Oryzias latipes: one gene and its partners. The protein of the gene in region 1 binds, or shares a complex with, the protein of each later gene. Links are inferred from orthologs where the notes say so. Each region holds a gene or a part of one and is shown on either strand. Other genes may lie near its edges.

Evidence for each region.
Region 2: med20 (region 1) and med8 share a complex: the UniProt entries of both Homo sapiens proteins name them as parts of the mediator complex. The link is inferred for Oryzias latipes from reciprocal best matches to the Homo sapiens genes MED20 and MED8.
Region 3: med20 (region 1) and med18 share a complex: the UniProt entries of both Homo sapiens proteins name them as parts of the mediator complex. The link is inferred for Oryzias latipes from reciprocal best matches to the Homo sapiens genes MED20 and MED18.
Region 4: med20 (region 1) and med7 share a complex: the UniProt entries of both Homo sapiens proteins name them as parts of the mediator complex. The link is inferred for Oryzias latipes from reciprocal best matches to the Homo sapiens genes MED20 and MED7.
Region 5: med20 (region 1) and med31 share a complex: the UniProt entries of both Homo sapiens proteins name them as parts of the mediator complex. The link is inferred for Oryzias latipes from reciprocal best matches to the Homo sapiens genes MED20 and MED31.
Region 6: med20 (region 1) and med4 share a complex: the UniProt entries of both Homo sapiens proteins name them as parts of the mediator complex. The link is inferred for Oryzias latipes from reciprocal best matches to the Homo sapiens genes MED20 and MED4.
Region 7: med20 (region 1) and med24 share a complex: the UniProt entries of both Homo sapiens proteins name them as parts of the mediator complex. The link is inferred for Oryzias latipes from reciprocal best matches to the Homo sapiens genes MED20 and MED24.

What each region holds. Positions count from the first base shown.
Region 1 is NC_019863.2:2,278,108-2,281,660, reverse strand, and holds med20 (mediator of RNA polymerase II transcription subunit 20), read right to left. Parts: upstream 2,091-3,553; 5' UTR 1,981-2,090; coding exon 1,967-1,980; intron 1,795-1,966; coding exon 1,649-1,794; intron 1,102-1,648; coding exon 848-1,101; intron 778-847; coding exon 556-777; 3' UTR 501-555; downstream 1-500. Other genes in the region: bysl (bystin), read left to right, coding at 2,287-2,551, 3,180-3,336, 3,434-3,553. UniProt on the Homo sapiens protein: Component of the Mediator complex, a coactivator involved in the regulated transcription of nearly all RNA polymerase II-dependent genes.
Region 2 is NC_019862.2:24,741,084-24,745,068, reverse strand, and holds med8 (mediator of RNA polymerase II transcription subunit 8), read right to left. Parts: upstream 2,801-3,985; 5' UTR 2,708-2,800; coding exon 2,702-2,707; intron 2,570-2,701; coding exon 2,448-2,569; intron 1,420-2,447; coding exon 1,275-1,419; intron 1,192-1,274; coding exon 1,051-1,191; intron 973-1,050; coding exon 885-972; intron 814-884; coding exon 574-813; intron 498-573; coding exon 427-497; 3' UTR 253-426; downstream 1-252. UniProt on the Homo sapiens protein: Component of the Mediator complex, a coactivator involved in the regulated transcription of nearly all RNA polymerase II-dependent genes.
Region 3 is NC_019874.2:22,764,196-22,768,345, reverse strand, and holds med18 (mediator of RNA polymerase II transcription subunit 18), read left to right. Parts: upstream 1-1,351; 5' UTR 1,352-1,708; intron 1,709-2,185; 5' UTR 2,186-2,192; coding exon 2,193-2,265; intron 2,266-2,984; coding exon 2,985-3,541; 3' UTR 3,542-3,650; downstream 3,651-4,150. UniProt on the Homo sapiens protein: Component of the Mediator complex, a coactivator involved in the regulated transcription of nearly all RNA polymerase II-dependent genes.
Region 4 is NC_019868.2:21,185,906-21,189,925, reverse strand, and holds the start of med7 (mediator of RNA polymerase II transcription subunit 7), read left to right. Parts: upstream 1-1,220; 5' UTR 1,221-1,336; intron 1,337-3,503; 5' UTR 3,504-3,512; coding exon 3,513-4,020. UniProt on the Homo sapiens protein: Component of the Mediator complex, a coactivator involved in the regulated transcription of nearly all RNA polymerase II-dependent genes.
Region 5 is NC_019872.2:23,702,723-23,706,779, reverse strand, and holds the start of med31 (mediator of RNA polymerase II transcription subunit 31), read right to left. Parts: upstream 2,801-4,057; 5' UTR 2,618-2,800; coding exon 2,608-2,617; intron 993-2,607; coding exon 918-992; intron 1-917. UniProt on the Homo sapiens protein: Component of the Mediator complex, a coactivator involved in the regulated transcription of nearly all RNA polymerase II-dependent genes.
Region 6 is NC_019879.2:14,006,626-14,010,840, forward strand, and holds the start of med4 (mediator of RNA polymerase II transcription subunit 4), read right to left. Parts: upstream 2,801-4,215; 5' UTR 2,761-2,800; coding exon 2,687-2,760; intron 2,437-2,686; coding exon 2,370-2,436; intron 1,929-2,369; coding exon 1,758-1,928; intron 751-1,757; coding exon 693-750; intron 1-692. UniProt on the Homo sapiens protein: Component of the Mediator complex, a coactivator involved in the regulated transcription of nearly all RNA polymerase II-dependent genes.
Region 7 is NC_019877.2:9,580,059-9,584,095, reverse strand, and holds the start of med24 (mediator of RNA polymerase II transcription subunit 24), read right to left. Parts: upstream 2,801-4,037; 5' UTR 2,681-2,800; intron 2,675-2,680; exon of another isoform or gene 2,555-2,674; intron 2,417-2,554; 5' UTR 2,416-2,416; coding exon 2,286-2,415; intron 2,201-2,285; coding exon 2,118-2,200; intron 1,991-2,117; coding exon 1,952-1,990; intron 1,869-1,951; coding exon 1,795-1,868; intron 1,476-1,794; coding exon 1,252-1,475; intron 1,110-1,251; coding exon 998-1,109; intron 903-997; coding exon 752-902; intron 1-751. UniProt on the Homo sapiens protein: Component of the Mediator complex, a coactivator involved in the regulated transcription of nearly all RNA polymerase II-dependent genes.

The DNA of each region.
Region 1 (3,553 bases):
ATTGACATTTATCAAGTATGAGACTGGCTTGTGCTTTATAGTCCTTCAAATCCTTGAACTTTTCCAGATATTCCAGGATTTTTGCCTCCATAGAAATCCATGGGGAATCCTTGGTGCAGAAGCTCGCTGGTTTGATCCCTCTGGCATTTTTCACACACGTATCTATTTGTTATTGTGCTGTTTTCACTTTATTGTTGTTCAACTTTGATCATTTCTTTCCTTTTTTGTGCCAATTCTTACCCTTTAAAGGTTCATTTTCATTCAACAATATAGCATTCAACCCTGAATTTTCTTCTGGAAATGCGGCTCCTTCTAGTTCACCTAACATTTTCTGAACTAAAAAATGCATCAGCTACATTAAAAAAAGGCTCTGGTTTCTTACCTCCACCTGATTTCTTTATTGCAAAGACATTCAACTAAGTTCCTAAAATAAATGTTCCAGAAGTTGGTTTTCAAAAGTTTCAGAAAAACATAATCAAGCATTTGATACAACCCCCCCCCCCCCCCCCCCCCAAAAGAAAATAAAATACAAAAAGGCCAGTTTGCTTTCCTGACCTAACGTACATTACTCCCTGGGATCTGCAGTTTACGAAGTTTGTTGAACAACTCCAAGTACTGCGTCATGGTGTCAACACAGTCCGCTGCTGCAAAAAGCCCTTCGGGTTTAGCAGCAAACACAGATGGAAGTTCGGGAACGCTGGTGCCAAGAAAAGACTGCATGAACTCCTTCATGAGGTTCCAGCAGTCCCCAGGAACCACACAGGGGCAGTACTCCACCTGCAGTAAAACACACAGGGCACATCATGTCCACCCGTCCCGCTGAAAGGGACAAACTGCATTTCCATACCTCCACTGAAATGCCTCTGGCGCTGGAGCTCATCGTCACAGTGCCCACCTTTATCAAAAAGTCACAGTATCGGTAGCGGGAGCCTCGACTCTCCACCTTGTGTCCCTTGGCGTTCTGGAAATGACTTTTTAACTTGGACATGAGGACGTCAAAGTTAGCATCAGCTACTAAGTAGGGTCCTCCTTCGAATAGGGCCATGCAGCTCAGAGGGGTTTCAGAGTTATGCATCACGTATAAGAGCTTGGAGGGCTGACCTGTGACAGACGGGAAACACTGGATGATGCATTCAACTCAATAATACATAAACTCCACATCCATGATTCAAATAAAGGCACATCTGTTATTGATGTAAAAAAGGTTTTTAAAGTCTAAAACCTTAAACAATATTTGGTTTTATAGTAAGGCTTTGAGATGGTTTCTACCATAAAAGGCCAGAGCCATTAAAGTGCAGCTGAAGGGGTGATCTGTCGTCACACTCCAGTAGAACTAATAGGACCCTTATCTAATTTGTAAAATATTCTCAAGATAATTTGACAAACACACATAAGATAAAGTGGCTATGTATGCTTAATTGTGTCCCATATTTACTGCAGATGTGTCTGAAGGAAGAATTAGCAAAAGCCCTGAATGTTCTTGTTAAAAATGCTACCAATTAAATGCAAGGGCACAAACGGAGCTCATATGCCAATCACCTTTTTTTAATTGCTTTTTAAAGGTCTAAGCAACCACAACTAATTACCACATGAATAAATAACTACTAATATGTTTCCCGCGTGATGCTTGAAAAAGTAGCGAGCTTACCGACAACGTTTCCCGTGGCGTGGTATGTCTCACAATCCACGCAGAAGCTGCCTTGTTTCACAGAACCGAGCTGCTCCAGCTTTTTTTGCAGGACGTCCACGGTCTGCTGCACACTCTTGCCCTCCGCTATGGGCACCTGACAAACACTGAAAGACAAAACACCCGACTGAGCAGCGACAACCCAACGCATCCATGAAGGGGAGGAGCACGCTTTCCCCAAAAGAACAAACATTTGAAATAGACAGGTCCTATAAACATAGCGAAACCAAACTATGTTGAAATAATAATTACACTTTAATGAGCCAAAATATTCCTTACCAAGTTACTCCCATTTTTGTTTTGCCTCCTTCGCAACTACTTCCGGTTAAACAAATTGACTTCCGGTAAAGGAAAAAATAAAATAAAAATACAAGTGAACATAGACGAATTGAGTTAAACTGATTAACTCAGTTAATAAACATAGGTTCTTTCATATATAATGTTTCGAAACATTTTTAATGAAACCGGATGTGACGTAATGTATTTCCGCTGCCTCTGTCGCGCATGCCGTTTGTCCGCACGTGCTAAACAGCTGGGTGTTTACACACTAAAAAGGCATAGACAGGCTTTAGCTTGTAAATTTTTTTGGAGCTGTAGCGATGCCGAAAGTGAAGAAATCTAAAGGTGGAGGAGAAAAGAGCTCTGGATCCGTGGCGCTGGCTGACCAGATCCTGCAGACGGACACGGTCCGAGCCCGCAACCGGGTTAAGAGCAGAGACCAGCGGCCAGAAAGCGACGACACCTACGTAGACGAGCGGCTGTCGCGGAAAATCCTACAGCAAGCCCGAATTCAGCAAGAGGAGCTTCAGACCGAATATGGGCTGGTACCGGAGAAGAAGAAGGCGACACCGGTCACTGTTCTTGGTAATGTTGGATCAGAACCAGGACATCCGCTTCAGTTTAGAAAATGATCAAACAGAAGCCGTTGATTAAGGTTTCTAAAGGTTCTCTCTTGTTCTAGTTTTTCTTACCGAAGAAAACGATGACCAACTTTAGTAAAGTTGCATCACAGATTCATCACAATTCAGACCCATCTACCCTTAACAAAGACAAGTACACTTGAAGTTTACTTAAGGATACTTGAGTAATAAGTGTGTAGTAGTGTACAAGTATAGACCATGTACGTGTAGTGTAGGACATATAGTAACTGAATACTTTTTCAGACTTTTATTGGAAAATTTTAAATGTATATAAAAAGAAAATTCTAGTTTACTGCTTTACTTTTAGTATAGACAGTATACTTGTAGTTTACTTAAATAGACTACTTTTTGCTAAGGGATGCACTAATGCTATGACTTAAAAATAAAGTTAACTGTTCACTAATGATGGTTTTAGTAAACACTCCAAATTAAAATACTTTCAGTAAATAAATACTTAAAAATAGAAGTAATAATGTTTTCATTTACTCGTTTCTGTAGTTAGTTGGGTGATTCCATACATCTAGATCTGCATCTTTTCATTATGTGAGTTCTAAACACTCCTGTAACTGTAGGTCCTGAATCTGGGGATGCAGACTCGGATGAAGAGTGGCCCGCACTGGGAGAAGCAGTTTCTGGGGCGGCAGAAACCGAATGTGATGCTGAAATTATTGTAGACCCAGAAGACGAAAAGGCCATTGAGATGTTCATGAATAAAAACCCACCAATGAGGCAAGAAACATGGCAGTTCTGACTAACCAACAACAACAAACAGAAACCACCAGGCCAGTTTCTTCTGTCCCTACTAACATGTTTCTCTTTCTCGTAGGAGGACCCTGGCAGACATAATCATGGAGAAAATCACTGAGAAGCAGACCGAAGTGGGGACGGTGATGTCGGAGGTGTCAGGGCGCCCCATGCCTCAGCTGGACCCCAGAATTACAGAGGT
Region 2 (3,985 bases), on another chromosome or scaffold:
GGTCATACAGCCAGACAGGATCAGAGCAGACAGAGGGCCAACACTCAGACAGGAATAAAACCCCCACCACCACCATTGTCAACAGCAATAGTTCCTCGCGTTCTCCCTTAAAAGTTGTGACACAACGTCCACCCCCATCAGGCTCAGCGCTGCAACACAGACTCAGAAGAGCGGAGCTCAGGTTTTTTCACGTCGTTTCAGTGCAGAAACAAGAGAAAGACACTTGTATAATAAAGGCCACACAAACCAAGCTGCTTTTCTGGGTTTTATTGAAAACATGTCATTGTGCTGTTAAGATTTAGCCATAAAGGATCCCATGCTGCCACCTAGTGGCTGTATAGAGAGCTTCAAAGGGGGACGTGAAGGTGGACCCAGTAACAGACTGATGTTCCTGCATCTGAGCAGTAAAGAGGCGGGCGGGGGAGATCACCGGTTGTAAGGGTGAATGGAACCCGATGCAGACTTGATGTTTGTCTTGATGCTGCTTGGCATTTTTCCTGGACAAAAATAAAGAAATAAAAATGTGTCTCCAATACAAAAAACTTAATACATTTTACCAGTACAGTTTCCTACCTGGCTGACCTTGCTGCTGGGGGGCCCCAGGCCCTCCCATACCTGCTTGCTGGTTTGACCCGCCACCAATAGTGACCTGCTGTAACGTTGGACCTCCGCTCATCATGGGCCCCTGCCCTGGGTGGCCAGGGGCCACAGGGCCAGGAGGTCTACACTTGGAGAGTCCCTTCCCAAAAGCCACAGCTGCTACCAAGGCACTGGTGTCTGTGGGGTTGAAGGACGCTTTGTTCTGCCGCACTGCTGGAAGATAAACACACTCAGCTCTTTCTACAATAAGGACAACAAGGGATTTACACAAACGAGCGACCCACCAGAAGCATCTCCCTCTCTGTCCTCTCGAGGGTTGTTCAGCTTCTCCAGAAGGTTGGAACACAGCTTGTTCAGAGCCTGGATATGCTTCTGTGGATTAGCACAGACAAACACTAAACACCTTCTGAGCACAGACAACAGATAACAAACATCCATGCGCCTCCTGACCTGAGCCAACTCAGGACCAATCCTGACCGCCTCTGCACTCAGCTGCTTCTCCTGCTCTTCCACCTCGGGGTCAGGCTTGGTCCTCAAGTGATCTGGCACAATCTCGTGACTGAACACCGGGACGCGTTGCTCTGTGAGTTTCTGAGGGGGGTGTGGGGGTGGACAGGATAGTTAGAGGTCTTTCACCACACAGGACAGCCTGCAAATGTTGCGGCGACACTCACAGCTAAATCCTCATCCCGGTCAGGAGACAGGAGCAGCGGGATGATGACCTGACTCCGGAAAGCTGGGGTCTTCTCGTTCCTCAGCAGCTTGTTGATGGTGTTCAGCTGACCCGAGAGGAGAGCAAAGTTGTCCAAAACAGATGGCCTGAGGGACAGGAAAGATTTGAGAGGGGGGTGAGAAAACTTTTGCAGGTAAACATGGAGACACAAACACTTTCTAAAAGACGCATGCACACGTACAAATACACGCACGCAAATACAGACACCAATGCTACAACAAGCTGGCAGTTACCATAGATCTGTGTTGGCTTGCTTGTTTTTCTTTAGTTTCGTTTTTTTTTTTCTCTAATTATTATTCTGTTTTTTGACAGAATTGTTGTTTTTTACACAAGTGCAGTGGCGTGCCTGCTAGTCCTTTGGACTATTTATCCCCCACTTTCTGGGTCTGAAGCGGTCTGTGGGTACATCGTCTACACGGTCAGCTGTTGTTGCTTGGCAACAACAACATGCCGCTGGAGAAGCAATCCCAGATCGCAGGAGATACTGAGGAGACTGGGGTTCTCCTGAGTTTTCAGGACTCTTTTTAATGATGGCATTGTTGCGTCTGCCCTCTTCTATGGTTTGAGCTGCTGGAGGTGTGAATGCACAAACAGGAACAAGAAGAGGATCAACAAACTGGAGCGGAGATCCGGCTACGTTCTGGGATGTCTCCTAGAATCGGTAACTGTGGTGGGTGAGAGTAAAATGTTACAGAAACTGAACTCCATCATGGACACTCCTCTTCTTCATCATCATCATCATCCTTTGTATGGGTGTACTGAGCAGCTCCTTTACACCTTGTTGCAGGAAGGAGCACTTTCCCAGATCTTTCTTCCCGTCAGCTATTAGACTCTGCAATGCCTTATAGACATTGGACAAAAATGATTGCTGTTAATTGTTTAAGTGTATTTTTAGTGTTATTAATATATATCTGATGTTTTATTGGAGCTATGGCAACAACAAGGTAATTTCCCCTTTTGTGGGATCAACAAAGATTTATAGTCTAAGTGCGCTCGCGCACACATGCACACGCACGATATGCACTCACTTGTTAACTTCGCATGTTTCCAGGCTTTTATTTATCATAATCAAAGGAGGGGGGATACGTTACGTCATAAGGGCAGGAGGACCCACCATGTCAGACGTTCGTACTCATTCTCCAGCTTGTAGATGAAGCTGCTCAGGGCGTTTTTAACGTGAGCCACCCGGGAGATGAGAGACTCCACCGCCGTCTCCAGCTGCTTCTCCTCCCGCTGCTGAAACACAAAAAGGACGAGCAGAGAGGCCCGGACAGATTACACAGCGCCCGAGCTAGCATCAGTCCAAAGTATCGTCCACAGTAGGTCAGAAGAATCACAGACAACCGAGTGAAATTATTTCAGACTCACTTGCATTGTTGATCTGTCAGCGACCCGGAAGTCTTCTAGGTTGTACTTCCGCTTTGCGCTTTCCAAAAAAAAGAGATGCTTCTTCTTCTCTGGTCAAATCTGACGGTGTGTTTGTGCTCCCTTGTGGCTACAGCAGGTACCCATACCACCCATCCTCTTGTTTTTTTCTTTTCTTTTTTTATTTATTGTTCAATAAATATTTGTTTCTGAGGGTTTTGCACCCTTTAATATTGTTTTCTTTCGTCCAAATTCTCTGTTCCAGGCCAAAATAATGTACTAGAACTGTCCCGTCAGAGTCATTAATCCAGTCTATACTGACTTTTTTAAAATAGAGAATCAACGATGGTGTTGACTAAAAAAAAATGAGAAATTGCAGCAACCAAAGTGAAATTGAAGAGCTGAGAGCAGAATCAGAGGATGAGTCCTGCAGACAGTTGTGAAGGAAGCACAGAGAAGGTGCAGCTTACAGGGAGACAGAGATAAAAGCTCAGAGCAGAAACAATTTAGTCTTCCTGGTATTTATTAAAAACAAATGATATGTTTAGTGTTTTTGTTTCTGTGTGTGATCATGGGTCTTCTGTAACAAGCTGTATATTGTTCTGGTTATCTTTAGTGGAAGCTCCAAATGTCCCAGAATCTTGGCCAACCATTACAAAATCAGTTCTTTTCAAGTTTATGAGTCATCAACATTATCTATTTAGTTCGGCTTTATTATTAACATTCACCGGTCCAGGCATCAGACTAAAATACAAGCCTTATAAAAACAGAGACCTGATTGTTTGGTGCAACCTTGGAGAAGAGCTCTCTGACCTAAGACCTCAAAAGTGTCTCTTAGACTGAATCCTAACACCATTTGACCCAGCAGTGGTCTGGTGAACTGCCCAGGGTGTATCCCACCTTTGCCTTTCAGTAGCTGGGTGGGCTCTAGGACACCCAGCATACTTTTTTTTTATATACATGAATAAAGGTGGTTTAGAAGATGGATCAATGTTTCTAGCAGTGTAAACTCTATATGCAACTGCTATTTTTACTTCAGGATCAGAGTTCAGATAATGTTTGCATGAGCAAATGTCCAACGTGACAAAATAAATTAGCCTGAAGAATCATGCCAGCTGTTCATACACACTTAAGAGTTAATAAAAGACACTCCAGAAAAGTTCAAATAGGACATCCACATTCAACAGGTCTGCACAGTTTCGTTTATTGCTCTGAAATGAGTGTAAAACGGAAACTCTAGAAGTAGTTTTCCACATCGCCTGTTTCCACCACCACCGTCTTCAGCTG
Region 3 (4,150 bases), on another chromosome or scaffold:
AGTTTTAATGAGCCTGAGGTTTTAACAGCTCCATCACACCTTTTCTATGTTCACCCTCTAGCATTTCCTTTGCTTTGCACTTGCTGTGTTTTCAGAAGACGGACAAGTGTGAGTAATAATCCTTTACATTTTCCACAAATCATAAAGTGACTAATCATTTACTAATCATTTTCCACTAATCATTATTTCTTTATTTGCAGGTGGAAGAAGAACCCTCCATTGTTTATTCCTTAATTGCCTTTAGAACCCCTGCAAAGACCAATGGCCGTGAATTAGCCCACAATGAAACCATTTACAGTGAAATAAAATTCACAAAAAGCAGTTTGGATAGGTTGAGCAGGTAATTGTTGCGATATTTTAGCAGTTCTGAAGTTGCCTTAACATGGATTCTGTTTTGTGAGTTGAAGTAAACTTCACCCTACAAGGTCCAAAATGGAAACCCTTAGAAGGGTTTTTTCCATTGTGTCAGAAAATGAATAACTGCTTGCTAATTATCTTTATGAAATATAGCATTGCTTTGTGTCTGTACCTGATACTGTCAGCAAGTGCTTTGAAAACAGAAAACAAGTTCCTTTAAATTATTCTGAACCATTATTTTTTCTGACACAAATTTTGTTAAATATTTTTTCTTTAAAGGCTTCGGAATCCGTCAAAACACAGTTTTTATATCTTTATTATTTTATGTGTAAAATATGCATCTGATGGAATGTTTGTCATTTACTTTAAAAGGTTAAGCACAAATCTTAAAAAAGTTTGTGAACCTCAATCAGCCAAAAACTATAGCAGCATGTCTGAATTTTAAATGTTTTATTCAATGTTTTAAAAAGAAAATATTTAACAAAAACTAATTGTAAAAATATTGTAATTGTTGTGAAGACAGCATCTGAGTTTTAAAAAAAAGGCCCACAGAGCTAGGCTTTTATTTTTTTATGTGCCAGCAATTACTATTACAACATTTTCGGTATGAAATCTACATATATATTTTTATTATTTTTAAATATGTGCAAGGTTTTCAAATACATTTAGTTACTTATCTGCACTGATAATAGTTTCAATTTTTAGAGCACGTTTTGGTTTGTGAGTGTTTTTGTAAATCAAATGACTTGAAGTTGATTTTTAAAAAAATGTTATTTATGGATTGTATTTTTAAAGTAACCCCTGTTTGGGTTACTGTAATTGATCCTTTTTCTACATTGCTAAAATTTAAGTTCAATAAGTGTATTCAACGTGTACTTATTGTTTTATCATTTGCCTAAATACCTGTTTGCGCGGAAAAAGCTAACACAGAAAGTTGCTTCCATGAATGGTTATATTCCGGGGTTTCAGTAGGTGGCAGTAACGAGCTTTAAACTGGATTGAAAGCGCCTTTTAAAAACAAAAGCCAAGGAAGAACTTGGGCGCCTTTGTTTTCTGATTAGCATCAAATTTTGGTTGTTTTTAGAACGGGTTACAATATATATTTCATTAACACTTTTTTTATTTTTTAAGTTAAGTACGAATGCCTTAAATTACTTTGTTGATGACAGTAACAGCTCAAATCGTGAGTTGGTAATTCCATGTAGGCTAACTGTTAACTGGTACTAGCAGCCGTGTGGATATTAGCTAACCGGTGAAACAGGGGGCCCACCGTGGAAACCAACCACAAACAGCAAAAATATCTTAACTTTAGTCAGTTCTAACGCTGCGCCGAACTCTTTATTCTGCTCAGGTAAACCATCTTACTCTGTAGTGAGAAACGTCTACTGCTTTTGCTAGTTAGCATAAGCCTGCTATTGGTAGTTGTATTTGTTCGCTAATTTAGCTAACAACTGTTTTCTGTTTACTCATTCATTCATTGGTAATGTCACTCACATGTATCATCAAACAACTGCAAATGAAATAGAGTAGTCCAACAACACTTTGCAAAAAGTAGCCTATTTAGTTTACTACATGTATAATTGGCTAGTGGGACGATATACTTGAAGTAAACTTTTAAACACAATCTAGTATTGCTAAATTCAAAACATAAAATGTTCCAATTTAGTCTGAAGAAGTTTTCAGTCAGTTAATACTTCTTTCACAATATACACATGGTCTATCGTACACTTGTACTTATTCTCACGTGTCCTCAATGAAATAAACTTCAAGTGTAGTACTTTTTGCTAAGTGAATGACAATGCCATCATTCACTATTACTTTAAATCAGGAAGAAGATGGAAGCTCCTCCTGTCACAGTTATGCCCGTCACCGGCGGTGCCATCAACATGATGGAATATCTGTTACAAGGTGAGACGATTCAGATATAGAAGGTTCAACCAGAGATATAGAGGCTTGATATATTTACAGATAAAACGGTGTATTTTTCCAGAATACATATATTAGAAGCCAGTATGAAGTTCACTGGCTAAATTATTTGAAAAATAATGTTTACATCTTCATTCTGTTGCTAAAACCAACTTCTATCCATTAATATTAGTCTTTAAAAAAAAACTATTAAGTTGAGCTAATTATTTTTCCATCATGAGTGTTGGTGTAGCATTAAAGAGCAAACCACACTGTCAAGAGTGTGGAAAGAGTGCTCAGTTACTTTCTGTCTTGAAAATAATATATATTTCTAAGGTTTTCCTGTCCTGTTTGTGCTGCACTTTACTGGACACATTTGTATTTAGTAAACTGAAGTATTTAAGATTATATAGATGCATAAAGATTTATGGAAAAATAATCCTCAAGTCAGGAAAGCTTTTTTTAAATTTTTTTATTCATGAAACCTGTTATTCATGTTTTCATCACATCTGAAGTGTTTATTGAAACTGTGTTTGTAAAAAAAAGAGATCTAAAACGAACACTAATTTTAACATTGAACATTTTTTAATTTCATGATGGAGGATTATATGTTTAATATTCATTTTTAAAAAGTTGTATCACAGCAGGAAATAATTATAGTGGGAGTAAAGAACTTACTATATGAGTCTTTAAAGGATATTCTATTTTCTCGTTTTTTTCAGGCAGTGTTTTGGATCAGGCTCTGGAAAGCCTCCTGCATCGCCTGCGTGGTCTCTGTGACAACATGGAACCAGAGACTTTCACCGACCACGAGCTGGTTTACCTTTTGAAAGGCCAGCAAGGCAACCCCTTCATTCTGCGTGCCAGACGCTCCCTCTCCCACCCTACTTCTCCATGGCACCTGCGGTATCTAGGCCAGCCAGAAGTGGGAGACAAGAGCCGCCATGCTCTGGTTCGCAACTGTGTCGATGTAGCTGCCTCTCAAAGCCTTCCGGAGTTCCTCAATGAGATGGGCTTTCGCATGGACCATGAGTTTGTGGCCAGTGGTCACATATTTCGCAAAGGAGCAATGAAAGTTGTGGTTAGCAAGGTTTCACGCATCCTAGTACCAGGGAACACGGAAAATACAGAGCGAATGTCGCTGTCGTATTTAGTGGAACTGAGCATTTTGGCTCCGGCCGGACAGGACACCGTGTCAGAAGACATGCGCAGCTTTGCCGAGCAGCTCAAACCTCTGATTCATCTGGAGAAGATTGACCCAAGCAAGCAGAGACATTAAGCATTAATGGAAAAAAATGTTTTTGTTATTGTTTTCCTTTCCATTTAAATGCTTTTTAATGTGATGAAATACAGATTTACTTTGCTTAAACTGTTACAGTTGTGGTTAATCTGACCTGTCAGAGTATTTTTTTAATTTATTTTTTACTTTTTGTGCCTACTATAAAGAAAATATTATAGTAACAAATAGCTGGAAAATACTTAAATATATTTTAAGTTGACAAACATTTTGCAATGCCTCAGATGGCTTATGTTATTGCTTTAAAAATTTTTTTTTAAATCTTCAATTTCATTTTTTTATATAATAAATGTCCACCAGGGGTCTCTCTTTCCACAAGGATGGTCTTAATTGGAGCAAAGTGAACGCTACCTCTCATCATCTACAGGAGCTCTGGTTGCCATGGAAATAATTAGCTGTGCGATCTGCACATCGTTTACCCCACTCTAATTAGCTTTCTCAATTGCTTAATGATACATAGACCTGTGAAAGCCTTTCTTTCTTCCTTTCCACAAAAGCATTGATTTTCCCTCTCTTCCCCTTTCATTTCTACTGTTAACCCATTAGTATCCTTTCTTTTTTTCATGGGAACTTGAGCTGGGACTATTACAA
Region 4 (4,020 bases), on another chromosome or scaffold:
AACACTCTGTGCAAGCAATCACACACTGATGTGCACACAAATACACACACGTATCATCACGTATGTTGTGTTAAACTCAATAAAGGTTTTTTTTTTAACATGAACCTTTGATGTACTATTGATCAAATTTTGCATAAAAATGTAAGCTTTTTGTCAGAATTGCTTGGTTGTTAAACAAAAATGTTTTAGAAAACAATTTAAATTTTCATATTAAATCAAAAGCTAAAAACAAAAATAACACTGTTAATCAATACCTAAGAAGCCATAGCTGGGGTTTTTTTTCGGAATTTTTAAATTTTCTTTTTTCTTCATTTAAAAGAAACTCTCCGCTTGTATCAAAATTGTAGTAAAAAAGTACTACTGAAGGAAAACTTAAAAATGAAAAAAATGCAATTTTTAAAAATGTAAAATGCATGATAAGTTATATCCTACAAACACTAAGAATGTCAAGGTTTCATGAATCACTAAATGCAGAAAACAGCAAAAGAGAAAAGTCTGGTTTCTAAGAAAAATGTATCCAAATACAATATGGAACCTTTGATGTACTTTTCATGAGGCTATGTTTTCTTTGGGGTTAGAAAGATTCTTATTTTTCTTTTCAATTTTGGTTCAAATACGATGTTCTTGTTTTGTTTTGCACACTCCGAAGCACAACCTTTGCCCTCTGCTAAATATTCACTAGGCCTATGACAACGTTTATAAAATAAAATGTTACATGTCATTCTTATTTAGTGTCAGGGTCAAGATGAAGTCAGCTTACTTATAATAGTTTGACCATTTTTATTTAAGTGTAAAAAAAAGAAAAAGAATGAATATTAGGTGTTGCTAATTGACTAAGTAGAAAATGAAACATAAAATTCAAAGTTAGACACTTTCACCTGCCCTACTGTATTTAGGGCGTAAAAACAAATGATAGATACATTTTTAAAATTAGAGTCCCCCTCCCCCCCCTTTTTTATGGTTACAGATCTGAACTTTTTTTGCTTGGGTTTGATTTCTTAAGCAGCTTATTTTAAGAACATATTTTAAGATTTATAGGCCTACCAGGATCAGAACCTGAACTCACTATATTAAACAAACAAAAACTAACAAAAAGTTTAAAACAATTAATACAGGAAAGAGATTAGTTTTGAATAAAACCCACTAATTATAAGGTTAATAATGAAATACTTTAAAGGCTTGTCGACGCAACCAATCAACGTCGAGTTTGTTTCCGGGTCACTGTCCAATCCTGGCATCTGAAACTCAACCGGGAAATGAATAAAGCGAAGCTAGTCAGGAGCTAACTGGCTAGAAGAATTTTCATCTAAACTCAACCAATTGAGTCGTTAAACAGGTTTGTACAATAATCAGTTATAAATGTAACCCTTTTATTCGTGTTACAGACCTGTTTCTTTGACTGTAGAGACTGTATTATTCAGCAGATGCAGGAAACGACGTTTGTTGTTAGCCAAACATCAACGGAGCGGTTTTATTAATTAGGTTTTTGTAATAACTTTTACTGTTAGTTAGTATATACGTGGGCTTTTATGTGGTATCTAAATGCACTACGGCGGAATAATTCGAGATTTGTTACGTTAGGTTTGACTTTGACATAGTTCTCAAAATGAATCGTGATGATCATGTGTGTGTCTGTTGTCGACTTGTCCGCCTTCTTACTTAGAAAACAGGTTTAGCTATGTGATGTGTGAACATTATCTGTTGTTGTACTTCTTGTGAGCACGTGTAAAATCCTAAAAAAAACGCGTGGGAAAAAATACTTTTATTGGTTGGAGCGGTTAACGACTCGTTTGGCTACGGTAAACTCTGATCGTGGCAATCTTCAAGTTAAAACATGCACCGACCATATGACATATCCTTCTCTGATTTGAATGTTGTTTTCTTTCCTTCAATAACAATGATACAAAGTGTTGAAAACAGACATCAACAAATATGCATTTTGTAAAAGCTGTGTTTTTTTTAATGTATAGAATGTGCATGTATGCACTTCTCTTTACTAAAATCCACAATTTGACTTGTTTTTGACCCTCATTTGTTCTCTTCTTACATCAGGATGGCTTTTCTTTAAACATTTTTTTAAACTCTGCAGTTTTTTTTTTATTTATTTTTTAATTTTGAATATAAAATCTACTAATTCAGTTGTATTTGCTAAATTGATAGCAGAACAATTATAAGGTTATGTGCACAACAAATAAGCATTTTGAAAAAATGGTGTTAAATCACACAGAAAAAAATCATATTCTTTAACAAGTACAATCTGATAGGGGGGATAGTGATAGATAATATAAATTTAAACATGTTTCAATTGAATAAAAACTGTTTTCTTATAGATAAAGGAATTATAATAATTTGGATTTTTAGTTACCGGTAAGTAGCACAGACAATTTGTTTCAATTAAAAAAACATGAGGATGTAAAGAAGTTTAGGAATCAATCAAAAATCTGTTTAATTGTCCCACAGGTAACTATAATGCAATGGAAGCTGTCACATCTTTATGCCATTTTCCACAGCATTTAGAAATGGCTTTATTGATTAATTATTTTTGGTATTGTAAAACTGATTATGGAAACCTGTATAAGTCTTTTCTCACAATTTTAAAAAAATGTTTCACTTAAAAATTCCTCTACATTTTCTTTAATCTTTTGAAAAATATATTGTAAAACAATGTATTATTGAATAAGTATCTGTAACAGAAACTATAGTAAACCGTGTTAAAATAATTATAACGTTTGTGGATGCATATACAAAACTAGTAATATTAGGCTAAGTGTCAACATTGTACATCTGTTCCTGTGTCTGTTGGTTAATCTGCATTTAATACTTATCTACTCTAACCTAAAAACATGTATATGTTTAAGCTCCACAGATGCATGTTCTTCTTGGTTGTCGCTCTTGCCTCACAGCAAGAAGGCCCCCAGTTCAAGTCCCAGCTGGGGGACCTGAAACAGAATCACCACTGGGGGACCTTTCTCTGTGGCGTTTGCGTGATCCCCTGGTTTTTCTCCAGGGACTCCAGCTCCCTCCCACCGTCCAAAAACAAGCTTCATAAGTTAATTGGTTACTAAATTCTCCCTAGGTGTGAGTGTGCATGGGTGTGTGAACGTGGCTCTGCTACAGACTGGCGAACTGTCCATGATGTCCCCTGCCTTTGCTGAGATAGGCTCCGGCAGCCCCGTGACCCTGAAAGGGACAAAAACGGGTTTAGAAAATGAATAAATAAGGATATTTTTTCTTGAAAGTTATTATTTTGGCACATTAAAAAGGCATAGTTTTGACAAAGTGCTATCATGACTGTGACTTTACTGACTGGAGAAAGCGTTTATGCAAGAGGTAGCTGATGCCATCACCCAGAACATATGAGGGGGTCATTAAAGATTGTTTTACTTCATATAAGTGAGACCCGTGAACTCGCCACAACAGTGGGATCTTATCAGGTGCATGACTGTGTATTTGTTGTTTGGATTCTTTCTAACTTGTAGTTCTATTTATTTTATAATTTTTAGGTCTGCAAAATGGGTGAACCACAGCAGGTCAGCGCACTGCCTCCACCGCCCATGCAGTACATCAAGGAGTATACAGATGAAAACATTCGCAAAGGTCTGGTGCCAAAGCCGCCTCCGCCCATCAGAGACAGCTACATGATGTTTGGCAATCAGTTTCAGTGCGACGACCTTATTATTCGGCCTCTGGAGAGCCAAGGCATCGAGAGGCTGCATCCTATGCAGTTTGACCACAAACGGGAGCTCAAGAAGCTGAACATGTCCATTCTCGTAAACTTTCTGGACCTTTTAGACATCCTTATCAAAAGTCCTGGTAATATTAAACGCGAAGAGAAGATGGAGGACATAAAGCTTTTGTTTGTTCACATGCATCATCTGATCAACGAGTACAGGCCGCACCAAGCCAGGGAGACTCTGAGGGTGATGATGGAGGTGCAGAAGAGGCAGAGGTTGGAGACGGCGGAGAGATTCCAAAAACACCTGGAGAGAGTCGTGGAGATGATCCAAGGGTGTCTTGCTT
Region 5 (4,057 bases), on another chromosome or scaffold:
GTAGCTTACAGTTAACAATAAAGTAAGAAAGGCTGAATTAATACTTTAAAAAAAAAAACAACTCCCAGGAAGGATCCGGGTCGTGTCTTTCACACCAAAGAGCCGACTTTAAGGTTGTTTCACTTGCTACTGACACATCAGTACACGAGTCTCTGCTCTGCTGCTCACCTGCTGCTCCTCAGGGATAACAAGACTCCTTGCAGGATCTCTTTTTGTCTTTTTCATCTTTGAGCCAGTTTGGAAAGCAAAGCGACTGCAGCAATGAGGGGATGTCTGTACTTTGACCGATCCCCCATGCTGCTATGTGCCAGTAATTCCGTCTTTTTTTATAATTAGTCTCTGTTTCATTTCAATTAACAGAGAAAAAGTCAAAGCCTGCAAAATCTAAGTAACAAAGTAACAAGGGTTTCTATAGTCCAGTAACTGTAATTCATTACAGAATATGAGCTGTAATTTGTTATGTTCTACCGTTACTGACAAAAGTAATTAAATTACAGTAATTTGTTACTTTGTAATCCATTACCCCAACACTGAGCAACATACAGAAGTGAGGATATTTATCAGTTTAAACAAACACATTTCTGTCTTTAATGAAGAAAGGTCAGGAAAAAAAAAAAAAAAAAACTAAATGAGTAAAATAGGTGAATCTGATCTTTAATGTGATACATAATATGGAAAAACATGAAAATTGGAGTAATATTTTTGGCTTTTCAGAGCTTTTTGTTCCTTCTTTTCATTGGGCAGTCATAAAAACAGGTTTTCATGGAATATTCGTGTTGAGGCCTTGCAGGGCTTCAGATTATTGAAGGATTTCAAGCCTCCAACCAAACGAACTTCCAGTTAAGGAATGTAGTTTCTGGCTTCACTTTTCAGGGAAGTTAAAGAACAAATGTTAAAGAAAAGATGAAGAGACTTACAGTTCAGGTAGTACGGATTTGCCAAACACTGCACAAACTCCAGCTCGGCCTGGAAGCGGTGCCGGGCCTGCTCATCTGGACCAGAAAAGACAGCATCACACAAAAGTAAAAAACACTGCGAATTCTGAAACAATAAGCAGTTTGGGCCTGACGACCTGCTGCAGTTATTATTATTATTATTTTTTTGCTGCTCTGATATTTCCATGATTCGTGTGTTATGCTAACACTGTAAATGAGTTTTATTTCCCCAAACACATTTCCTGTGTTAGACCAGTGGACTGGGTGATAAGTTAGAAACTATATAAGCGCGACGCAAGAACTGGTTTATTGTCAGACTACATTTTCACAAACGAGCCTCTGAGGTTCGGCTACTAAATACAACCAAACAAAAAGATGCGACCGACAAAAACGTCTGACTAAAGTAAATGTGAGTTCAACCAGTACACAATTTTACTAGCAGTGTCCTGAAAACCTTAGAGGGTCAGTCACCGCACAGTGAGTGCGGGAACAACTGTCACCAGAAATCTATGTTTTGAGTAGAACTCCTGGTTCCATGTTGGGGTGGAATCTCAGTCATTCAGGTCATGATAAAATGAAAAGTTCCAAAAGTATTCAACTGGACAAAGTTTCTGGTTTGAAGACGTTTCGCCTCTCACCCGAGCAGTTTCTTCAGTTCTGTCCAACTGGTGCTGAGCTAGAGATTTACATCCTCCTCGCTGGAGTCCTTTGATGGCCAACCAAACCCCCCAGTGACTGATTCGTTGACCCCTGTGTCCCGGTTGTGTCTATCTCTTCCTTTTCCTCACTGACGGTGCTTTCTGCCCAGAGAAACCTTTAAGAGGGCCTGACGCTTGTTTGTGTAATATTCAATAGAATGAGGGTTTTTATTTAGCGTTGTAGTAATGTGCGTTAGCAGCTGAAGGTGGGTAAAATGCCTGACTGAGGCAAACATCAAGCGTCACAGACAGATGTGGAGCAGTGGACGTCGTTTTTCAAAATAAAACCTTCATAAACACCTGATTAACAGAAAAAAGGAAGAGTGGTACCGATATGGAGCTGGAGACCACTGTCCCCGGTGAATCATTGAGTTAATGGGGTAGTTAAGGTAGTATGTCTGATAAAATCTCACATTTACAAAGTTATTCAAACCTGATAGAGCTTTATTAAACCCACGTGAACTAGTGTGTTGTCCTTATGTCGGTCTTTGGTTTATTTATTGGTTAAAGAGAGTTAGCAGTTTGCTAAAATTAGCCCAACGTTTTTGAAATTATGAATTATATGCAGTCTGAAGATCTTACTTATTCCTGCTCAAGCGACCTGTACTAGTATGTCGGGGTTTACTTTGGCTTCTTTATGAAAAATGTGTCAAGATGGACGAGCTTCATATTCTATCTTTTTAAACTTTCTCATAAATGTCATATTACTTATTTTACGGACTACAGCGAAAAAATCCCCGCGTTAATCGCCGACATTATTAATTTATTATTTACGAAAAATTTTCGGCTTGTTGTACGCACGAACTCAGGTTAATAAAAGCATCAACACAGCTTTAAGTCTTTTACAAAAGTTAGAAATACACAGTTTCTCAAATGTCAAATAAAAACACAAGAATAATGAAGACATTCATCATCCTCCCATATAGTTAGACTTAGAAGAACCAAAGCTAACAAAAATAGGTTTAGCTACAAACCTGTTTCCATGGTATCGACCCGAACAGTAACTATTTACTGTCCACAAACTGAGCAGGGCTTCCAGAAAGAGCAGAAAATCCTTATATGTGTTTAAATGTTTAACAAATCTTCAGTCCAGCTGCTTTTGTTTAGCTTTCATCAGCCGTAAGTGAACTACTCGGGCAAAACCACTTCCGACTTTGCGACACCTGCTATCTACTTTACGGCTTTTTTTCTTTTGCAACAAAACTTTGTTGTTCAGCACACGGACAACAAAAACTGAGACAGAAAATACCCAACACAAATAAAAAATACTTGTTAATCATACTTTTGGTTATATAGTGTTTGAAGTCTGAAGAAATAAACATTAAATGTCATCATGAAACAGAAATAATTTGAACAGTGAATAAAAAACGTCCATGTTTATTTGAGTCTTTGTTATTTATTGGAAAAACACAGAAATTAAATGATCAAAAAGCAGTAAACGGAAAATGTTTTGTTATTTTTCATCCAGTCTGATGTTAATGTTTTTCTCTGAACACTGAAAAATATGAGAATATGCAAAAACTTTAGGTAATCAAAATGTTTCACACTTGATTCATAGGATTTCTGATCTTGTAGTTCAGCATCTGGCCGTATGATTGCTGTATGAATGATTGTGGCGCTCCATGTATGTATGTATGATTGTGGCCCATGTGTGATTGTGGCGCTCCACAATCTTACTAGGCTGTGCTTTTCCTGCCAGCATCTTACACCCTGCAGTTATGTGCTGGATTGTTTCAGGCGCCTCTTTGCACAGCCTACACCTTGGGTCTTGTCTGGTGTGGTAGATCTGAGCCTCCATTGCTCTGGTGTTCAGGGTTTGTTCCTGGGCTGCCAGGATGAGTGCTTCAGTGCTGTCCTGTAGGCCAGCCCTTTCTAGCCATTGGTAGCACTTCTTGATATCAGCAGCTTCAGTTATGGTCCGGTTTGTCCTCCCATGAGGATTTGTCCTCTAGCACTGCATCCCTCTCCGTTGCCTGAGACATTCACTGAACACACTGTCAGTTGGGGCCTTGAGTTTGATGTATTTGTGTGCAGCAGGAAGAAAGAAATAAGAAAGTGCACTCGCTGTAGTTAAACACAGTGACGTATGCTTCAGAGGACGTTCAATTGGCTGTTCTGCATGTCAATCAAGTGACATCTTTCCTGCCGAGGATGATGATTCACTGACAGATTTTTAAAAAATATATTTTGATATTTATTTCTTATTTTTGATGACCTGCAATCTACAGTTCCATCCTTCGTGATCGACATAATGAGCACCCCTGACCTAAAGGATTTGAATGTGGACCATAAAATAACACTCTTTACATGTTTGAGTGATAAAGTTTTATTATCAACAAGTAAAAGGAGTTAGCAACAGGTTTGTAAAAAACAGGAAGATACATATGTACACAACACACACATACGTGCATACACAAACACACA
Region 6 (4,215 bases), on another chromosome or scaffold:
GTCCCTCTGACCATCACCAGGACATTCATACACATTCACACAGCAGTGGAGCTGCACTGGAGGCAAGGAGGGTGAAGTGTCTTGCCCAAGGACACAACGACAGTTGAGTGGTGGGACCAGGGATCAAACCGCCGACTCTTCGACCATTGGACGATCTGCTAAACTGCCTAAGCACCTGCATAAGCACCTGCCGCCCCATCAATTTTTAAATGAAATACCGGTTTTCTTAGCAGCTCATTTTTGTTGCAATATGAAAACCCGCCTGTTTTTGGGGATTGGGAGGGGCTGGTGCTCAGAGAGCAGGTTTTTAGAGGAAAACTCAGAAATGCATTAAAGGATCAAAATACTCTTCTGGGGTCGTTTTTCAAGAGGAATTAACAAATATAATACATAAAAAGCTAAAAATAAAATTGATTTTGCATGATATAGGTCATTTAATGAGAACCAATGTTTTTTTATGCCAAATCTTGAGTCGATACAAAAAGATGGCACAAGAGAGTAATTATTTTTTTTGGCAGAGATGAAGATGCTACCTAAAATGGAAGAAGGAATGAATTCTTTAACGAAAACCTTAAACTAAAATCTTTGAGTGTCAACGCTGAAGTCACACAGCTGCTTGAGTATCTGGATGTTACCAGACACAAAATGATACATCCAAATCCACAGACTGAAAGACAAGTGTGTTTGCTCACCTTTCTTAGCCTTTTCAATGGAAGCAAGTTTCTCCTTGGCCTGGTAAACTGCAGTGGCCTTGAAGGAGAAAAAGTCAGTTTAGATTGACAGAAGCTGCTTTCCAAGTGTGATCTTAGATCTGGATCCAGTGACCCCGTCATTCCTACACCTTTCTGTTTTAGGTGCTGGAAAAGAAGCATCATCAAAATGTCTACAATAGTTGATAAAGAATGACATTATTAGCATTAGCTGAGTCCTCAAAAGGCATGGGATGATCCTAGTGTTGGGCAACAGGGCTTGCAGTTCTCCGCGTGCCCCGTTTCACCTGGCAGACTGAGCCCACTACCCCTCCCCTTTCGTTCTCACACACGCAGCCGCGTGTGACAGGAGACGGGAGCGCGCAGCTACAGGGACAGGAATTCACAGGTTTCAGGTTGTCACAAACTCTGTGATTTTACAGACAATAGGAACCGAATAGAGGCGCAGATTTTTTCCCCAAGCACTGAGCCGCTGTCATCACCGCCCCCACGTTAAATATGAGCACCGGACAATTGTCTGTATAACCTGTGCCTAAAACCGCCACTATAGCGCGCCCCCCCCCCCGGCATCGCATCGGGGGGGCGCACCCCACTATTTGAAAAGCACTGCTTTAAACTGTTACACTTTCAGACAGTGGTGAAATTTGTAATGACCCAGATGACTAAGCAATCTTTAGATTACTTTGAACTATATTATTTAATTGACTTAGCTCTCAACATATATGTTACAAAAAAAATTATTTGTCACAGGTTTTTTTTTTTTTTTTTACAGTTGTAGTAAACTGCCAGATTTACAACACATTGAGTTAATTTTTTACAGCAAAAGATATTTAGCCTTTTAGAGTTTTTATACTTTTACTCAACAAATGCTAAAGCCAGCACAGCCATAGATCTGCTTACAGCAGCCTATATGGAGAATGCATTAGACTGGCTTAATCTGCCTATGTGCTAGAAGAATGAGGATTTCTGCTAATGCACCTGTGAATGTAACTACATCACCTTACAGCAGTATCAGATGAAGCAAAAATACACACAACCTCAACCCACCAGGATGTGCTCTGCCTCCTTCAGCTGTTTCTGCAGCTGCTGGATGTCACTGTCTCTCTTCTCCACTTCCTTTTCCAACAGTTGCATCTCCTGATGAATCTTTCCCTGCTGCTGGGCCACCTCCATCAGCTCTTGGAATTCCTTGTCCCTCTGCACCAGAAGCTCCAGGATCTGAAGACAAAACAGGCTCTCCAATAAACACAAGAAGCAGCACTGATCAGACGTCGACTGTGGCCTTTGCTTCCATGGAGACCAGCATCATTTCAAATGGCTAGAGGTGACAGTGCTGCACAGCTCAAACCCAAAACATGAAATGTTTTTTTTCTTCATTTTTTTTAAACATGGCCATATCCAAATAAATGCTGGAATATCAAGAGAGAGGCCGCCCTGATGGCTGAGGCCAAGCCTGTTGTTTTCATGTTTTTAGATGATCTGCTCCTGATGACAACTATTTAACTAAAGAAATAATCAGAAATACAATTTAAGCATACTTTTTTTTGTAAATGTCTTTTACCATCTTTAAAATGCCACAAGAACATTTTAAAAACACAATTTTCTTTGGAGTGGCTCTTTTGGAGTGTTGAACTAGAATAAAAAAGTTGTGTCCTTCACCTGTGTGTCCTCTCCTGGCTGAGGAACTTTCTGGTTTCTGGCCAGAGCCAGCATCTCGATCAGCTCCCTGAAACAGAAGAGCAGACATGGAGGATTCAGCACGAGGAGCTGTGGAGTACGCGGCACAACGGAGGCCATTTAAAGCCCCCCCGGGGGGGGGGCTTTAATTTCAAAGCGTGAACTAAGCCTCATGAGCCTTTACTCTCCACTGGACTTCTGGACTCGAATCAGGACTGTGCAGACCAAGCCGTAAACCCGCCTACTGTGTCGCTACCTAACTACAACACGGAAAACAAAATATGAGCTGTTTCCTTTACCGCGATAACACCTCCAAATCATCCAACACAGAAAGTAGCCGCTCTTTTGTTGACTTCTCTGCTGCCGCCGCCATACCTGTTTCTAAAGCAGAAAGGATATGACGTAATAAAGACTTTACCTCAAATTGTAAGTTACTGTCACCTAGTGGTGGCAAAAGGAATATCATGCTAAAAAGTACGTTTTGCCTATTCCAAGGAGGAAAATCTTAAATTATTTTTGGAACCACGGATAATAATAATTCATAGAAAAGTAATAATATTTTTTGTAAATTGTTTTACTTAAATTACTAAATAAACAGATGTAAAATGTTGATGAAAACAGCCAAATTTTGCAAAAGTTATTTCAGTCTGTGTTCTAAAGTTTTTGCAAAATGATCTAAACAATGATTACTATTTTAAAAATACTGGACAAGCTGCAGTTATTTTAGTGCATAAAGGATGTAAAATGTCTACAGGGTAAAAAAAAGGAATTATTACAATATTTTAGTAATTAGTAATTTACGTAAACGATTTAAAAGCAACTTTTTCTCTTGAACTAAATATGTAGTACGTTTATTTGCCTATTTATCTCTTTGCATACATTTTTTTAAGAATGTATTTTCCATGATAAAAGTTGTTCTGATACAATACAAAAAGCAAAGACAAAACTAGGCAACATATTGCAACAATGTTTATTAATACTAAGATTACTCTGACTTCCTGATTTTTTATTTATTTTATTATTATTTTGTTATGGGTCAAAGTGTTAATGTTAAATTCAGGATAAAATCTCATTATTTGTGTGCATTGACCCATCCCCTGGGTAGCAGTGCACTATAGCTGTGCTAAGGAACTATTTGGTAGTCTAAGTTTCTCTGACTTTGACTCAGCATGAACACACACATCCAAAGCAAGTTTGTTTTGTTGAGGCTGCCAACAGTGAGATAATAGTGAAGCTTTTTTGCAACCAGGCCACTTCCTGATTGTCAAAATAAGAGGGATTCAAAGATGGAAATGAAATGCATTTTTGCCATTGCATCTGAAAACTGCATACTGACTTCATAGGAATTTGAACCATATATGTTTGTCTTCAAGAATGAACATTTCCCCCAAAATATCCAAGTGAAAGCTTTTAAAAATTTTAGAGGCTTCATTACTGTTTTTTTTTTTTAATTTAAAACGTTTTTTAAAAAAATACTTCTGTTTTTGTGGTTGTGAATAATCTTCAGGTCAGCATATCTGTGTAGTTGTTTCTCATTTGAAACCTAATGTTCACAAAGACAAGGCTGGTCTGAAAATAAGGTGATTCAGAAAGAAGTCACTTTTTAAAAGACCCCCCCCCCCCCACACACACACACACACAGGTACACACTTTTGGCATGGTGTTTGGTCTTTAACTGTAGATCTTCTGCAAAAACAACGAAGCCATCCAACAGGATTTAAGCTATTTTTTGTTGCAGCTACGCACTGACAGACCAGAAGAACACATTTTTAACTATGTAGGTCAAGAGGCTTGATCAAAGCTCCTGAAATATCATGCCTCAAGAATC
Region 7 (4,037 bases), on another chromosome or scaffold:
TTTATTATGTCATTAATGTAAAGTTTATTGCAAATCTTTCATGGATATGTGTTGTTGCAAATAAATATTTTTTAACATTTTGTACACAAGTTCCATTACTGTGAAACAACGGTTAAATTAAATTTTCATGTAATCAAATTATTTTAATTTGCAAAGAGAAATTTTCTCAATATGCTACTGTGAGGTAAAATTAGAAGAAAAATGGCTTAAAATACTTTTACCCCAAATATGTTTGTTACATAATTGTTTTGCTCAGCGTACATGATTTAACCATGAACCTTCTTTCTGTTATGTCATAGATAGAGAGATAAAGAGATAGATAGATAGATAGATAGATAGATAGATAGATAGATAGATAGATAGATAGATAGATAGATAGATAGTTAGATAGATAGAGAGATGACACTTTCATTTGCAGGTAAATTATTCATTACAAATAAAAAACTTCAGTATAAAGCAAAGCTAAAAAAGCTAAATATGAATGTAATTTAATGTAATTGCACAGTAAATTAAGAAAAAATGGTTCTCTTCAGGCTCAGAGGGTCTGATTATGTCAACATGAAGGAGCAAAAATGTGTAAATTCTTAATACAGTTTTACAAATTAACATATTTTACATAGTCATAATTGCAATGTTCAAACTACCGGTAATTCACCTGCAAAATATTTGCAAAAAGAATATGACTATTTCTGACTTAGGGCTGAAGATCACAGAAATTATAGAAATATTTTGTCATGAATTTCAAGCTCACCTGCATTCTCTTGATCATCATTAACTGCTCCACCAAAGGCTGGATCTCTCCGATTAAATTCATGGTTGCCTCCAGCATGATGAAGGCATGAACTGATGGGAAGGAGGCACGCACTGGAAGCTCACACTGCACAGAGAGCATGCTGGGAATACTGGGGAGAGTCAAGAGTCATCCCAAGAAAAATTAACTTTTTTTAATGTTTTAAAACACTTTTGAGTAAGAGCTTAGTGGCTGAGGAACCTTCACCTTTTTACTAAAAACAAACTTTCTTCCAGTGAAGTCCTTAATGTTTGGTTTGGTACATTTCCAAGACCTTCCGTAACTTTAATCACTGCTTGCTCCACATTGTTCCAGGACCCTTTGGAAGAGGAATTTCACATCAAACCTTACAAATGGTGAACATGCAAACAAAGACCATAACCTTTGTGTGCACAAATGCCTACATTCTCTTCCATAACATTCATATTTCAATATTGTCTTTCAATATTTTATTCCCAAACCTTGATCTTCTAATCGGGCGATATGAACCAGAGCTCTGTTCTTGGTGCTTTTCATCAGGGTATGAAGCCTCTCCTGACATGTTCTGAGAATAGCCTCTATGCTGGGTACCGGTCCGAGCTCTCTCAGGTTCTCGCAGTACCACGCACAGGCCTGCAGCAGCCAGACCACCACCCCAAGCAAAGCCCGACACAACCCAATGCATTCCTCTGCTTTGCCATGGCAGCTGAGTGAGAAGACAACAATGTACAGTATTAACAATTAAAGCTATAGTACAAATATAAGATAAAATACAATATGCAAGTGAAGTATTGGGGAAATAACAATAAGACAAGGCTTGGCACACAAGTAAATCAGTTAAGATTTAATTAAAAAAAAAACATATCAATAAAAATTGTTGAAAATTCCAAGTTAAAGTGAGGCAGATTGAAGATTTAAAACCCTGACAAATTTGCTGTCCAAAAAATAAATAAATAAAATAACAAAAATGTACAAGAGAAAGTCACAAGGAGAGAATAGTGGTGTTTACTCAGAAGTATTCAGACCTTAGGCGACAGCAGAACATGTCTATTATGTCCAGCAATGACTTCACACAGAGGTCCCGCGAGAAATCGTCAAACTATAAACAAAACACATTGGTTACAAATGCAGCAGAGATCCATTTAAATGCGAATCTTCTGTCCTTTTTATGATCAAACACACCTTGCTGATGGCTGTGAGCACACTAGCATAGGACACCATCTAGAAAAGTGAAACATTAACAGTCATTATTTAAAAATATATATATATACACACATTTATGTATATACACATTTATGTGTATATATATGTGTGTGTTCAGTTTTCAAAATAAAAGTTCCTTTCCAACCTGTGAACTTATAGCATATTTAAGGTAGGATAAGATGAGTGGGTTAGGGGATGGACCAATCATTGCCTGCTCCATCAAAGCTTCTGGAAAACACAAAGAAAATAATGAAAATTAAATGCATACATGTTATAGGATGAAACGCCGACGTTGTTTATCACAATCAACAACCTGCGAGGTTAAGGTAGTCCCATGTTGCTCCCTTTGGAAAGTTTTTCTTGATGTTGACAGCCCATTGGTAGTCTGTCCACCTTTCTTTCCACGCCTGCAGGATAGCCTGCTTCAAATTAACCACCTTCATGCTGGAAAGGAGCGAACACACGTATCTGTTAGAGAATAGCTAACTCACTTATGTCAAAAAAATAGCAAAATTGCCACACGTTTTAACATATAAACACTGGGTCAAGTCAATGCAGCTGTTAGATTCGCTGTTAGCATACCTTCTCAATATTAGCTAACAGAAAAAAACTAAACGTCTCTTGTTTCGCGAACAAACTCAGAATCGTCCCCGGAAAAGGCCAGAACATACCTCTCAAAGTTTCATTATTGACTTAATTCATATCTACCTGCTCTCGTTTTGTTAAAGCGCAAGATGTGGTTGTTTTTTAGTTTCACAGCTCCACAATGCAGGATACCCCCATTGCTGTTGTGAAAAACACCGCCGCTCATTGGCTACTCCCGACACTCCACCAGTATTCTTTTCGATGATTGGATAATGATGTTTTTCGCTTTTAAGCCTCAACCTTCGACTGCAGAATCTGTCTACTACCACAAGATGTCGCTGTTAACCACAGAACTTATGAAGTAGATCCGAAATTGAATGGGACTCTAAAATGTAGTTTGCAGTAAAAAAAAAAAAGCTTATTTCAGCTTTTTTCTTTCTTTTTTAAAAAGTTGGAAAATCACTACCCAATAGCAAGAATAATGAAAAATATATTTTCAAAATGAACACAATGATTAAATTAGAATAATAAGGAATCAGGAATCTTTATTGTCATTTTAAATTAGCGTCTCTGGTCCCGGGCCAGTCGTTTACAGTGAGAAGACAGGAATAAGTAAATAACAATATGATGTAGTAATAATTTACATTTATGGAACCCACAGTGCACTTTTAATTTAAAAATCTAAAATAAAAAAAAGCTTCTGAGCTTTTGTTCTTTGTTCGATTTTTGTTTTTTTTTGTGTGCACAAAAATTTGTTTTGCAAAAATAAAATGAACCCTTTCTCTGCATCAATCTCCATCAGACCAATCTTGTATTAGTCAGGGCCAACAAAGAGCTTCTTTCTGCTTGTTACTGGAGATGATGTACTGACTAGAGTGAGGTCTGTGTCCTGGGACAAGAGTTATGTAAGACCGAAAGAGATGATCAGTGCATATTAGGTGGACAAGTGTTAGAGGACTGATGAAGTTGCGTGTTTGTGTGGAGGTGTGTCTGGAGAGAATGATCTTTTCTCCTTTACCTTACACTGAGGGCTCTGTTGAGGAGGCGTGGTGACAGCTCTCCATCTGCCACAGGGGTGATCAGAGGGACTGTGGCTGCAGCTCTGTGTCTTTTCTCACGGCTTCATTTCAGAGATTAGGACATGTGCTGATTCTGGCTTTTCTCACTTCCAACCTTTATTATGTTACTTGTTATTGTTATTCAAAAGTGATCCCCCATCTTACAATATTATTGTATCATCATTGTGGTTCATTACATAACGTCTGTTTCACTTTCAAGTTACTTTCTCAGTTAAAGCTGCAGAACTACAACATAATAAACATTTATAATACAAAGTATTTCACATTTACTATAAATAATGTTATTAATATTAACAGTATTGTTTATTTTTGAACAAGTGAAAGCACACAAAAGACGACTATATTAAAATTCTTAGCTTTAGTCAATTTATTCCAACAAACTTCAAATAGAAGTAAAAAAG